3 linked regions of the Lepisosteus oculatus genome follow. The protein of the gene in region 2 interacts with the protein of the main gene of each other region in a pairwise test. Links are inferred from orthologs where the notes say so. Each region holds a gene or a part of one and is shown on either strand. Other genes may lie near its edges.

Region 1 (3,755 bases), on a different chromosome or scaffold from region 2:
CTTGTGAATGACTGGGCTAAATTCCGGACACTGTCTGCAATGTTGGCACAAGTCAATAATATGCTTGGATAAAAGGTTAAATGCGTCATTCACCCTCTGCTTCCTGGGAGCTGGCTGTATCCCCTCCAAACACACACAGCTCATTTTAACGCTTTTAACAGCTGCTTGAGTGCGCAGTTCCCCGTGTTGACGAAGTTCCCAAGGGGCCCTGATGTCCGGACACAGGGAATCTGGGATCGAATTTCCAGCGGACACACTTCCACTGCAGACAGACTCTCGGAAATGAAGTACCCACATAAAGCTGCTTGCCAGATGAGGCGATGGGATGGGAAAAGTGGATTAGAGCCCCAACGGCGAAAAGAATGACATTAAGGAGCTGGACGAAATGGTATCACGGACAAAAACCTGCCAGCTGTTAGCCGATTACAGCTGCAAGCTCGGAAACGGACTGTCTGAATGAAAGCCAAGTGTTTTAGTAACGTGCCTGGCATTCCTGCAGCAAAGCAGAATACAATATTAACATTTAAAAATGTTTATTGAAAAGGTTTGGATGCAGTGCCTTCAAACAATGCAGAGTGCCATCAGGCTGATCGTCCGGAAAACAAAACTGCAGGCCACAAAAACAAAACGACACTTTCAAAGGGTCAAATTCTCAAAGGGCTGAGAGGTAAAAGCAAAGCAAGAAAAGAGTTACAGTATCCTACCATTAGCTTTGCTACCCCACTGTCTTACTTCAATCTAACAGAACACATACAAGATCGTCAAAATAAGAGTTTATAACGTGAAAAAAATGCAGTGAAAACTGTCGTATGAGAAATCCTTTTTTTAGATGGCTTTTGGATGAAAACCATACTGAAAACACACCACAACGAATAGGTATTCGTTTGCTGCGTGAAGGCATCATGTGCAATAAATGATTCAAGAGCAGGATAGCTAGTCAGGTGCAGCATTTTGTTTGTTTTACTCTTTTACTATTTGAAAGCGTATGTGAAAAAGTATGTCAATGGAATGAAATCACTAGTTTAATCGATACATAAAAACAGGAAAATGCGATTTCCCATTAAACAAAAAATCCTTTAAGCTTACATTCATTTTTTAGCAGAGGAAGAAGAAATAAAATTAGCTCAATTTCCTTCTAGTGGAAACAGCCAAGGGTCTACAGTCATATATCGTGATCCGTATGCGGTAAAAATAAAGTTTTAGACTAAACAGGACTGAAACTGAGTCTTTAAATGAATCAAGAATAGTAGATCTTAATACGTAAATCACGGTTTTGTAGGTAAAAACGAACACGTTTGTAAATTCCTACTTTGTTTAAGGTTCCAGTAATGTAATTTCTAATGTTTCACAGCCATAGAAATGACACTGAACATAACAGGCACATCCCCGGCTGTGGTCCTTAGTCCACCTCAGCCCAAAACTGCTTCTCCGACGAGATGGAGACTGGCACCGAAGCAGTTAAACTAAAGTCTACCAACCCCCGCAGCGACAAAATAAAAGGAAACCAAAAATATGTGTTTTTTGTTTAATTCAAACGATCTACACCTAGTTGCAAGCCCCTGATTCAACCAAGGAAGATACATTTTAGCTCCCTTCTCCCCTGAACAATACACAACAATGTCTCAGATACAAAATGAAACGGGATCACAAAATGTCTTGCCTCGTGTTTTCGTGGTCTGTAGGCCGGAGAACAGTGCGTCAGAACCAAAACAACTTTTTACGACTCATATTCGCAAAATTGATCATTAGCACTTCCCATCAAATGAGTAAAATGTAAAATACGCAATGCGTTTTAATAAAGAAAGCGGAAACGTCCATTAACAGGCCAGTCATAAAGAGACATGGCGCTGTGAAAACAGTGTTGCAGCATCTAACATCTTATTAAAACTTTTAAAGCCTCATGTACATAGTACCCGCGTATGTGTACAAATACACGTGAAAAGAAATACATTTAAAATGCACATTAAGTTTCAATACTCAATAAAACTAAAGAGCTTCCTGTAAAGCTTAGAAGTTCCGATGTTATTTTAAATATGTATTTCAAGACTTTCGTTAAAAACGCGAACATTACCTGCTCCTCTTCTGCTGTTAAATGAGCTGCCATTCCTTTCGTTGATGCAATTTCGAAACTCTTCCTTGTTTTTGTATACGACTACAGGTTCTTTGAATTGGGTTAATCAACAGTCGTCCCACTCTTTGTCGGAAAAGAAAATAACTCGCTACTTTAACCCGAAACAACAATGTATATCAACATATTACGCATCGCTACAAAAATAGGGTGTAGATGTTAAGCTTATTTCCTCCAGAGCGTAAATAAAAGGCAACAGACGTTTAAATAGTTCCTGCAAATAAAAAGTGTTTTTATATATATTTAAAAACGAGCTCAGTTTGGTCCTCCGAAAAAATACTCCACTCCGTAGAAAACTAGAAGCCTACGAATTCATGCTGCTTCTCGATGGCGTATCGCAAATAAAATAAAAGTCCACATTTCCCCGTTAACCTTCATCACTCTGCGATTATTTTGAAGCATTCCTGAGTTTGCTGCCTTGCAAGCTTGAATCCATCGGCAGTTTATTTCTTCAGAAGGGAAGACCTCAGTCACAGAACTCCGACTCCCCTACTGGTTACACTAAACACAACAACTTTCGAGCTATAAAACTCGACTGCCAAGCGCTCTCTCCTTCATTCATAAAAATGCTTGGGCCCATCGCGCAGGCGATATCCCTGTTATCCAACGCCGGTAGCTCAAACCTACTTCGCAGTTAATTGCAACTCCCCTTGATATTCCCTCATTGGCCAGAAAAGGCAAACGTGTTTAATAAGAAACATACATTATGTTTGTACTGATAACCGTGTACACATACAGAACTGGATTTCTCCCAGATGAACCACAACACCTAAACGACTTTTGGTACAAATACCATTATCCTTTATGTACTGTTCCCCCTAGTCGCACAAGGCCAGACTAAATGAAAAATGGATTTCTAAGTGTGCGTCCGCACCATTTTGTACTTAGAGATACAACCCACGTGGACATTTCAATATGGAAATTCGTCTTTACATTAATAATTTATAACAAGACTCTTATTGTAGATGTGGTTCAAAATCTCGGTTTTATTCGATTATGTAATTTTCAACCGCAAATGCTAAACGTCAAATGTAAAGCTACCTGAAATCATCATTGCCAGACAATGTAAGACAAAAGGAGCATTTTAAAGAAACCCAGATTATGAATGTATATGTTTTCATTCCAGGTTAAATCTCGTTATCGTATTTAAAATCTCAATTTTCTATTTCTATTGTCCTAGTTTGACAGCCTGCTGATTAAGTAAAGGCGTTGTCCCGTTACAGATGAACACAGCTGATCTTTGATTGGTGTGCATGGAGTGCAAATTACAGATAAACTACTATTAATACTAGGTGCAGCTTTTGAGAGACAATTATTAACAAGTAAAGTGGAAAATAAAAATTACGTTTTTTTAAAAAAAGAAGGTTTATTTTGTCACAACCCAGCGGTAATTGGCAACAACAATAATTTAATAAGGATTTAGCTCACAATTTACGTCTTTATTCGTACAGTGTTAGCGCTCAATTCACATGTTAATTTCGTTTCAGAAAATATCCTGTTCTGGGATTCTATGATTCCGAGGACCTAAAAGAAAAATGAAAAGGACCGTGGTTAAATGAGAAGTTGTTCGTGCAAGTAACATATTTACGGATCAACCCTTTTCTAAAGGAAGTATATAGATTACCTT
Region 2 (3,755 bases):
ATACACAGTAGCTCACAAAATTATAATCTATCAATGATACCTATTTTAAGCTTATTGAACACTCAGCAAATGATGCTAAAATTATAATACTGAATTAATAATCTTAAGAGTATACTAATGGCAACTAAGAAAGTTTCATTTTCTTATTTCCTTAGTGCACAACAAGCCGAATGCCACCAGGACAAAGAAGGTCTCCTTTTTCATTGGCATGTCTGGTACTATACTGTACATCACTTTGAATTCCCAAAACATTTGTAAGAAGTTTTTTTTTTCATGGGGTTTTTACATGGATAAAAAACTCATGAGTGATAAACCCATTTACATAGGATTACTGCCCAAGGAAGAGCGATGAACAGTTTATAAAACAGGTTGCCTTGGGGGAGAGGAGACTGTTATAATGACACACCCCAGCACTCAAGTGTCTTACACCTCCCTGGGCAGGTGCCCAGAGTCACAGACAGAGATTAAATTCAGTGTCCGCTACAACTTATAATTAAAACAAACGCAATAAAACTTTTGATTTTTGTCAAGGATTTTTGTCACAGTAAGGATGGGCTAAAATTCCACATCAACATGTTTAAGCGCATACTGAAGACAGCCAGTGGAAATCAAAGCATGTTTTTAGCTCCATTTTCAGCTAAGTCTCAAGTCTCAGGGGTCATAGCTGGTATACTATACCTGTATGTTTTATCTAAAGTGTTAGAAGAAGTAAATATTATTATATAAAAGTAAATGCAGTGTTCTGAAACTTCTTATAGAAAATAAGTAAAACATGGTGTTGCCTTCAAAGAGGTTCATGGTTCTTAACCTTTGGAAATGACAGAATGTTCTATAGTTCTGTGTCAACAACAGAACATACTAACAAATGGTACCTAAAAACTGAGTATGATATCATAATAACTGATAATTACCATCGCCTGATCTCATTGATCAGGGAAAAGCATTTTACTTATGGAACTGATTCATACGTATTTGCCATACTATCCCTTACATACTATCAGTAATTGCTTCTGGAAAGCCTTCTAAATCAGAACTGTACCATGAATCCTGTATACTTCACCATTGTCCTCTCTTTATATTTACCCAAGTAAACAATTTTTTAAAACCTTTTTGCTGTAATAATTGTTACATGTCAACACTAAATGGCAGCACATCATTTTAAATAAGCATAACTTAAGGAGGGGACTAAAAATGTCCAACAAAAAGTAGATACTGTCATCTGCTCTCCTAAGGGTCACTGATTACTTCCTTATTGTCACATGGGCGACAGAATCGCAAAACACTGAATATTGTTGTGCTTTTTTTTTCTTCTGCAAAGAATGCAACTGGGATTCTTTGCTGTTTGGTGCCTGCAAGCCATTTTCAGTTCACCAAAGAAATAAATGTAAAACTTCTTACCAGGAAATTCCAGTCAGTGTTGATCCTGTCAACAAAGCCCAGGAGAAAGACAAGGAGGTATGCAGTGGAGAAGGTAAACATGGTTACGGACACAAACATAACCCAGCCTTGTAACAGAGGCACAGGGACATTGGAAGAGGCCACAAGAATCCATACCAGACCTCCGAAGACCTGCATGAGAAAAGAAAACTTCTTTTAACATGTACTACTATAAATAGCTTTCTTTGTCATTAGGAAAAAAATAAAAATCATCCTTTTGGATATTTCACCAGCTGCTTTTTCACTATTTTCATTTTCAAATATTAACAGGCAAAAAAAACCAACTAGAGCTAATAGAATTTTCACTTTTAAATGTCTCTTTCAGACATTGTGCACTCATACATCACCTGTGTACAAAGAAATACATAAGATACTTTTCTCCATTTTGATCTGGAGTCCTAGACTGTAGGCTTTGTGAGTAATGTTTACAATGTGTCCAATAAGTATTAGAAGAATGTTAAGTTTAAGACCCCGGTATTTTTTATAAGGTCTTCAAGTGACTTTGTCGTTCTTACACCAAGCATTAGTAAAAAGTTCTCATTGCTTTCGTCATTATGAAGTGTGGTGGTTTTACAGTGTTACACCAACGCAAGCTTGTAATTAGGTCAGTTCTTACCGTTGAAATGTTAATTATTGTACCACGCAGAACCAGGTAAATCTTGCATTTAGTACTGCCCAGCCTATCCTGCAACAATACCTTCTTAAACAACAGCTTCAGATGAGTTGTTTAGGTATTTAATAACAAAGCTGAATAAGTTATAATACATTATGTTGTACACACTTCGGTAAATATTAAAAGTATACCATCCACCGGAAAAACACCAAATGTCACCGGAGAGGATCTTCCACAGCCGTGCACATTCAATTGTACGGCAAGTTTTCCAGACCTCCGTGTTATTTTAAATGTGGGAGTGGCAGGGCTAATCCTCTTAGCTGGGTTCTCGAAATCTTCATTTTACATGTAATGTCGGAGCGCTGTCATCACCTCATGAACTTAACAGAAAGCACCACGTTTCTTGCGAGTTCTTGCGCCGCTGCTATCAAAAGCAAAAAAGCCAAATGCCTCATCGGTACTTCCAATATTAAGAAGAAGCAGAGACGAGATCGTTTCACTCGGTGCTTCTTGTCTGGAATATGAAAACACACACTCGAATGTACTAGCGAACCACGGCGAGTGGCTAACGTTTGTAAGGAAAGGTGTTCAGAGTTTGTACACACTTACTATTTCTAAGCAGACGAGAGCCCCCGAGTACGTTCTCAGCACCTCAGGTCCCGTAGGCAAAGAAATTGTAGCGGCTGGGAAGGACGTAGCCGGCGAATTTGCGGGTACAGACATCCTTTTCTTAATTCAGAGGTTTCTGTTCAACAGGGTCAAGATCCAAATCAAATTCCTGCCGAGTCACGTGTCCTCGCAGCCCAACAGGTGCGCGGCCACGCCCATTCTGTCCGTTCGGAGCAGCGACACCGCGTCTCTTTGAAGGAGACCTGGAGTACGTGAAGAGCGGGTATAGACTGTCATAAATAATCCTGGAGTAGCCGAAGTACGTATGTTTAGCCATCAAAACCGGGGTAAACAAATGAATTACGACTTGTTGCTCACTTGTAATAGTATCAGTGACGTTTATAGAGAAGCACGCACATTTTATAGATGAGGAACAAGTAAAGATTTATTCCAAAGGAACAAGTAATAGGTTTATTCCATGCTGGGAAAAAAGAAGAAAAAACACAAAGTGTTTTCTTTCTTCTTCTTTCTCTTTTTCTTTTTTTTTCAGCATGGAATAAACCTATTACTTGTTCTTTTTCAGCCTACGCATGCTGACGCAGCTACCTACCTGAAGATTTATTCCACGCTGAAAAGATGAGAGGAAACAATGTTTTGGCTGGGGTGCCTTCTTCGAGTGTGTTTTTCTTTTGGCTTGTTGTTTCTTATTTTGCTGATAATTGGCATTGTGTTTATTGTCTTCTGTTTTCAGCATGGAACCTTTTCACCACAAACCTTTACGTGTTTCTTTGCAGACTACGCATGCTGACGCACCTACCTTCTTGAAGTATTTTATAGATATTCTTTTGAGTTAAAAAAATAATATTATGGCAAGAACACGGACGTGACTGGCTTGAAGTGTATAGAGAACCACAGTTAAGTTACAAATGAATTTTCAAGAGATATCATCCTATGGACACCAGTACATTATACTACAAATATACAAAAAATGAGAATATTGCAGTCCATTACCAAAGGAATTTAAAAAATACATATTCTTTTTAATAATGTTAATTTTTTTAAAAAAGTTTTAAAATAAAAATACAGTGTATTCTAA
Region 3 (3,755 bases), on a different chromosome or scaffold from region 2:
GTCTGTCTCTTTAATGTCTTGTGGTATCATACATTGCTTTGCATGCTGTAGATAACTGCATGACATTGATTCCAACTTTTTTCTTGTACCTCTCTTAACAATATATGTAACTAGAATAATTTACATACATTATATATGATATGATGTCACTTTACACAGCCATTGTGTAGTTTATATTAACAGCACAGCAATTGCTCTGATTGTGGATTTCAGAAGAAAATTAAAAATGCTACAGGACACCTTGAATATATCATTGTACAGTTAACTCCGCCTACACCTATATCATTTAAATTTAAAAATATTCTCTAGCTTTTAAATCTATTAATTGTATTAAAATGGGTATTAATCCAATAGGTTTCTAATGCTTTTGCTTAATGTGCTGCAGATCATGTCATGATGTCATGAAAGGTGCTACTGTATATACACAAAAGATTATAAATACAATGTTATCCAAGTCACCTTTTATAGAGAGATCACTAAATAATTTACAACTGTATTAAAAATATAACATTCAGAATTCTGTTAAAGAACTCAATTGCATATGCTTTCTTCTTCAGATTGTGCAACATAGACGTAATTGGATGGTCGTCTTCTTAAGAGATATTAAATCTGCCTGGACGTGTCACAGTGAGAGAGTGGGATGACAAAAAAACGAAGTCAAGAAAAGAAAATCAATTGAAACATCCTGGGCATCACAGCCTGAAGCTCAAAAGCCTCAAAAGGTGGGATTGACTAGGCATCTATGCTGTCGGGTTGCATGTCTTCCTAGCGGCATGAAAATCAAATAAGAGTAGAAATACTCACTCCTGGGTCTCCAGGTACAGGGTGACATGGGGATTCGCTCTGCCTTATTGATCAAAATGACAGCTTGATTTAAAGCTTTGATGTCCCATCTGATTATCTGAAAGCCTGCAGAGCTGTGATTGCCCAGGAACAGAAGCAAGAGGGATTTCATCGCCAGAGTTTTCCATATCAAACTCTTCTGAACCCACAAGCGGCTCATCCCCTGATATTGGTCTCTCATTCCAGAGTGTTGACGGGTCCCAGAAATCCCGGGTGGTGTTGTGTGGTGGTGCTGACTTTGTCCGGCAGTGTCCGGTCATACTATACCACCAACCTAGCTGAGGACGCCGGCACTGCAGGAGCAGGTTGGCCCAGCAGGGGGCACCTCTAACAATAAAACTCAGAAGGCATTTCTGTGATTGACTGCGCACCTACAGTATATGCTTGGTTAATATCAGGGCTACCTTCCTGTGGGCAATGCAGCACTGCTACTTTCAGTTATCTGATTGACGGTTAATATCCGTCATATTCAAGGAATTACTCTACTACTTACAGTACACGTTTGGGAGCATGAGGACTTGGGGATAGTGAAGAATAAGAGAATAAAGAAACAGAAGGGGTAGTTGAGCATTCTATAAAAATTAAATTAAAAAAATGTAATTATTTGAGACATACTACTTCTAATTAACACGATTGTTGTGTTTAGCGAGTTGTATAGATAAAGGGTTTTTATACTTTTCATGCAACAGAATCTGGAAAATATTCAACTATTTCTCCTTAGATGTATTCCTGATTTCCCAGTAGATTTCACAAAGACTAGTCTGTTAAAAACAAACCCCTTCCAACATTTGCTATGTAAATGACTTTGGTTTGATCTTTTTTAATCAAGCATGTCACTCTTGCATCACATATCCAGCCTGTATTATGTTAGATGGATTAAAAGCAGCTTCATACAAATTATTTCAGATATCTTTACAAATATCACATAGTTTGCATGTAAATACTAATTAAGAAATTTTAAATCGGACAGCTTCACGATCATTTTCTTTCATGTTTTCCAAACAATATTGGATTCTTGAAATGGAGAAAGAGTTAAATATCTTTATGTTCATCCAGATCTTTCCTTTGTATAATGTTTTTTTAATAAAGGTTTTCATTGAAGATTCCCTTACACCATCACAGCCCCATGTGGGGCTCCAGATAATCTGATACTAGCAAATAAAAAACGTTGCTTGTGAATTAAGGCAGATGAAAAACAGGGCCTGTGAAGGTTTTTAAATTGTTTTTTTTCAATAATCCAGAAATGTCACATCTCTCAAGCAATTTATTGTGCAATATTTTTTTTATTTCAGTGCTGTACATAGCAATCTCCTCCTGCCAAACTTATATCCCCAGAACAACAGCTTTAACCTAAATGCCTCCTAACAATTTAGAAGTGTTTAGCTCTTTGCTTATAAAAAGAAACCACTTAACGAGGAATTGTGTATATCCTGTATTCCACTTGATAAACTGAGCTGTGCTTTACGAACATTTTGACAAAGTTGCCCGTCACTTCAATATTTATAAAACCAGTAAAAATAAGAGACACTGGATTCAAAACTAAAATTTGTATTGTTGAATTTCAGAATCTCCTGTTTAGCCAGAGGAGAAGCATGGCATTACAGAGGGTATTCTGATAAGGTCTTTACTTTGATACATATCCAGTGTTTAGATTTCCCATTTAAAGCAGAACTTCAGGGGTTAATTAATTCACCTGATGGTGTCCTGATGCCATCGCAGATCGTGGAACACTGACGCCATGCCAGTCTTGCCCATTATGGACTAGTATGTAACACATGAGCTCAGAAATCTGGGTGTAAGACTGCAATACAGCTCCCCTGATCATACCGGCAGCACATCCAGATTAAAGAATTCAAATTAAAAATAACTCCACGGTGCTGAACAGAATGTGCAGTTTAAAGCCCACAGCTGATCGCCATGCAGATGATAAATAAAGTCTCCTACCTGTTGTGATGTGGTTTAGGCTGGTTTCTTTGTGCTCGTGTCTCCTGTTCTCTCGTCCTCGGCCTCTGTGTGCGAGGAACAGCCTACCCTGGGAGAACGCGCCTGGGTGGCTTGTTCTGAGAGGCAATAAACAGAAAGCACGTGCGTCTGTGGTGATGCGGCAGGGGAACTGACGAGTGTGCAGACTCCCCCTGCTCTGTGAGGCTGGAGATGAGAGGGAGAGAGAGGGAGGGAGGGGAGAGAGAGAGAGGTGGCTACTTCCACGAAGAGACCTAGACTGCGACAGGCAGCTCTCTGGCACCAGTCTCAAACGAATCAGGGAGATGAAAGCAGAGCAAAAAAAAATAACACCCACACAGGCACTTAGGAGTGTTTTCATTATAAAATGGTTTAGGTGAAAATTTTTGTGCATGTCTAACACCCCCCCCCAGAGTTAATTATAAATTAGCCTGTCTTTCACATTTGCTGCTACAATACTGTACCTCATTCTCCCCTCGAGTTCTCCATCTGAGATCATGTTTCTCTGTGATTTCTACTAAAAGCTCATTTTTCTGCCCTCGTGCTGTATATCTCACTAGATTGTTAATTGTGAAACAGCAGTTTCGTGCTGGCGATAGTCTCCTTGCTTTTAAACTCCTATTGGTATTGTTGCATGTTATGTAACATGCATTTGAAACTAGAATTGAGACTTGTTAGGCCTCAGGCCCTTCTGGGGCATGCTAATCTTGCAGCAGCATCTTTATGTTGATATATCTCCGTCTATGACACACTGCTACCAAGTTTTAAACAACAAGGAACCTGAACACCTAAAATATTTACAGCAATTTTTTTTTTGCTTGAGAAATAAGACACTTATAATCATAATAATGAAGTCTACATGAAGTCAGCATTTTTGTGACTTTTCATTGTACCTGAAAAAAAAACATTAATCTATGTTGGTCATTCCACAACTCTGGAGTTCTGGAGGC

What was found.
Region 1: the proteins of mal2 (region 2) and ptpn9a interact in binary tests that used the Homo sapiens proteins (3 or more experiments, as listed by UniProt). The two-hybrid records come from large-scale screens. The link is inferred for Lepisosteus oculatus from reciprocal best matches to the Homo sapiens genes MAL2 and PTPN9.
Region 3: the proteins of mal2 (region 2) and ndrg4 interact in binary tests that used the Homo sapiens proteins (3 or more experiments, as listed by UniProt). The two-hybrid records come from large-scale screens. The link is inferred for Lepisosteus oculatus from reciprocal best matches to the Homo sapiens genes MAL2 and NDRG4.

What each region holds. Positions count from the first base shown.
Region 1 is NC_090700.1:60,676,280-60,680,034, forward strand, and holds the start of ptpn9a (tyrosine-protein phosphatase non-receptor type 9), read right to left. Parts: upstream 2,734-3,755; 5' UTR 2,105-2,733; coding exon 2,072-2,104; intron 1-2,071. UniProt on the Homo sapiens protein: Protein-tyrosine phosphatase that could participate in the transfer of hydrophobic ligands or in functions of the Golgi apparatus.
Region 2 is NC_090705.1:11,455,273-11,459,027, forward strand, and holds the start of mal2 (protein MAL2), read right to left. Parts: upstream 2,911-3,755; 5' UTR 2,774-2,910; coding exon 2,660-2,773; intron 1,570-2,659; coding exon 1,399-1,569; intron 1-1,398. UniProt on the Homo sapiens protein: Member of the machinery of polarized transport. Required for the indirect transcytotic route at the step of the egress of the transcytosing cargo from perinuclear endosomes in order for it to travel to the apical surface via a raft-dependent pathway.
Region 3 is NC_090715.1:12,051,269-12,055,023, forward strand, and holds the start of ndrg4 (protein NDRG4), read right to left. Parts: upstream 3,017-3,755; 5' UTR 2,788-3,016; intron 1-2,787. UniProt on the Homo sapiens protein: Contributes to the maintenance of intracerebral BDNF levels within the normal range, which is necessary for the preservation of spatial learning and the resistance to neuronal cell death caused by ischemic stress.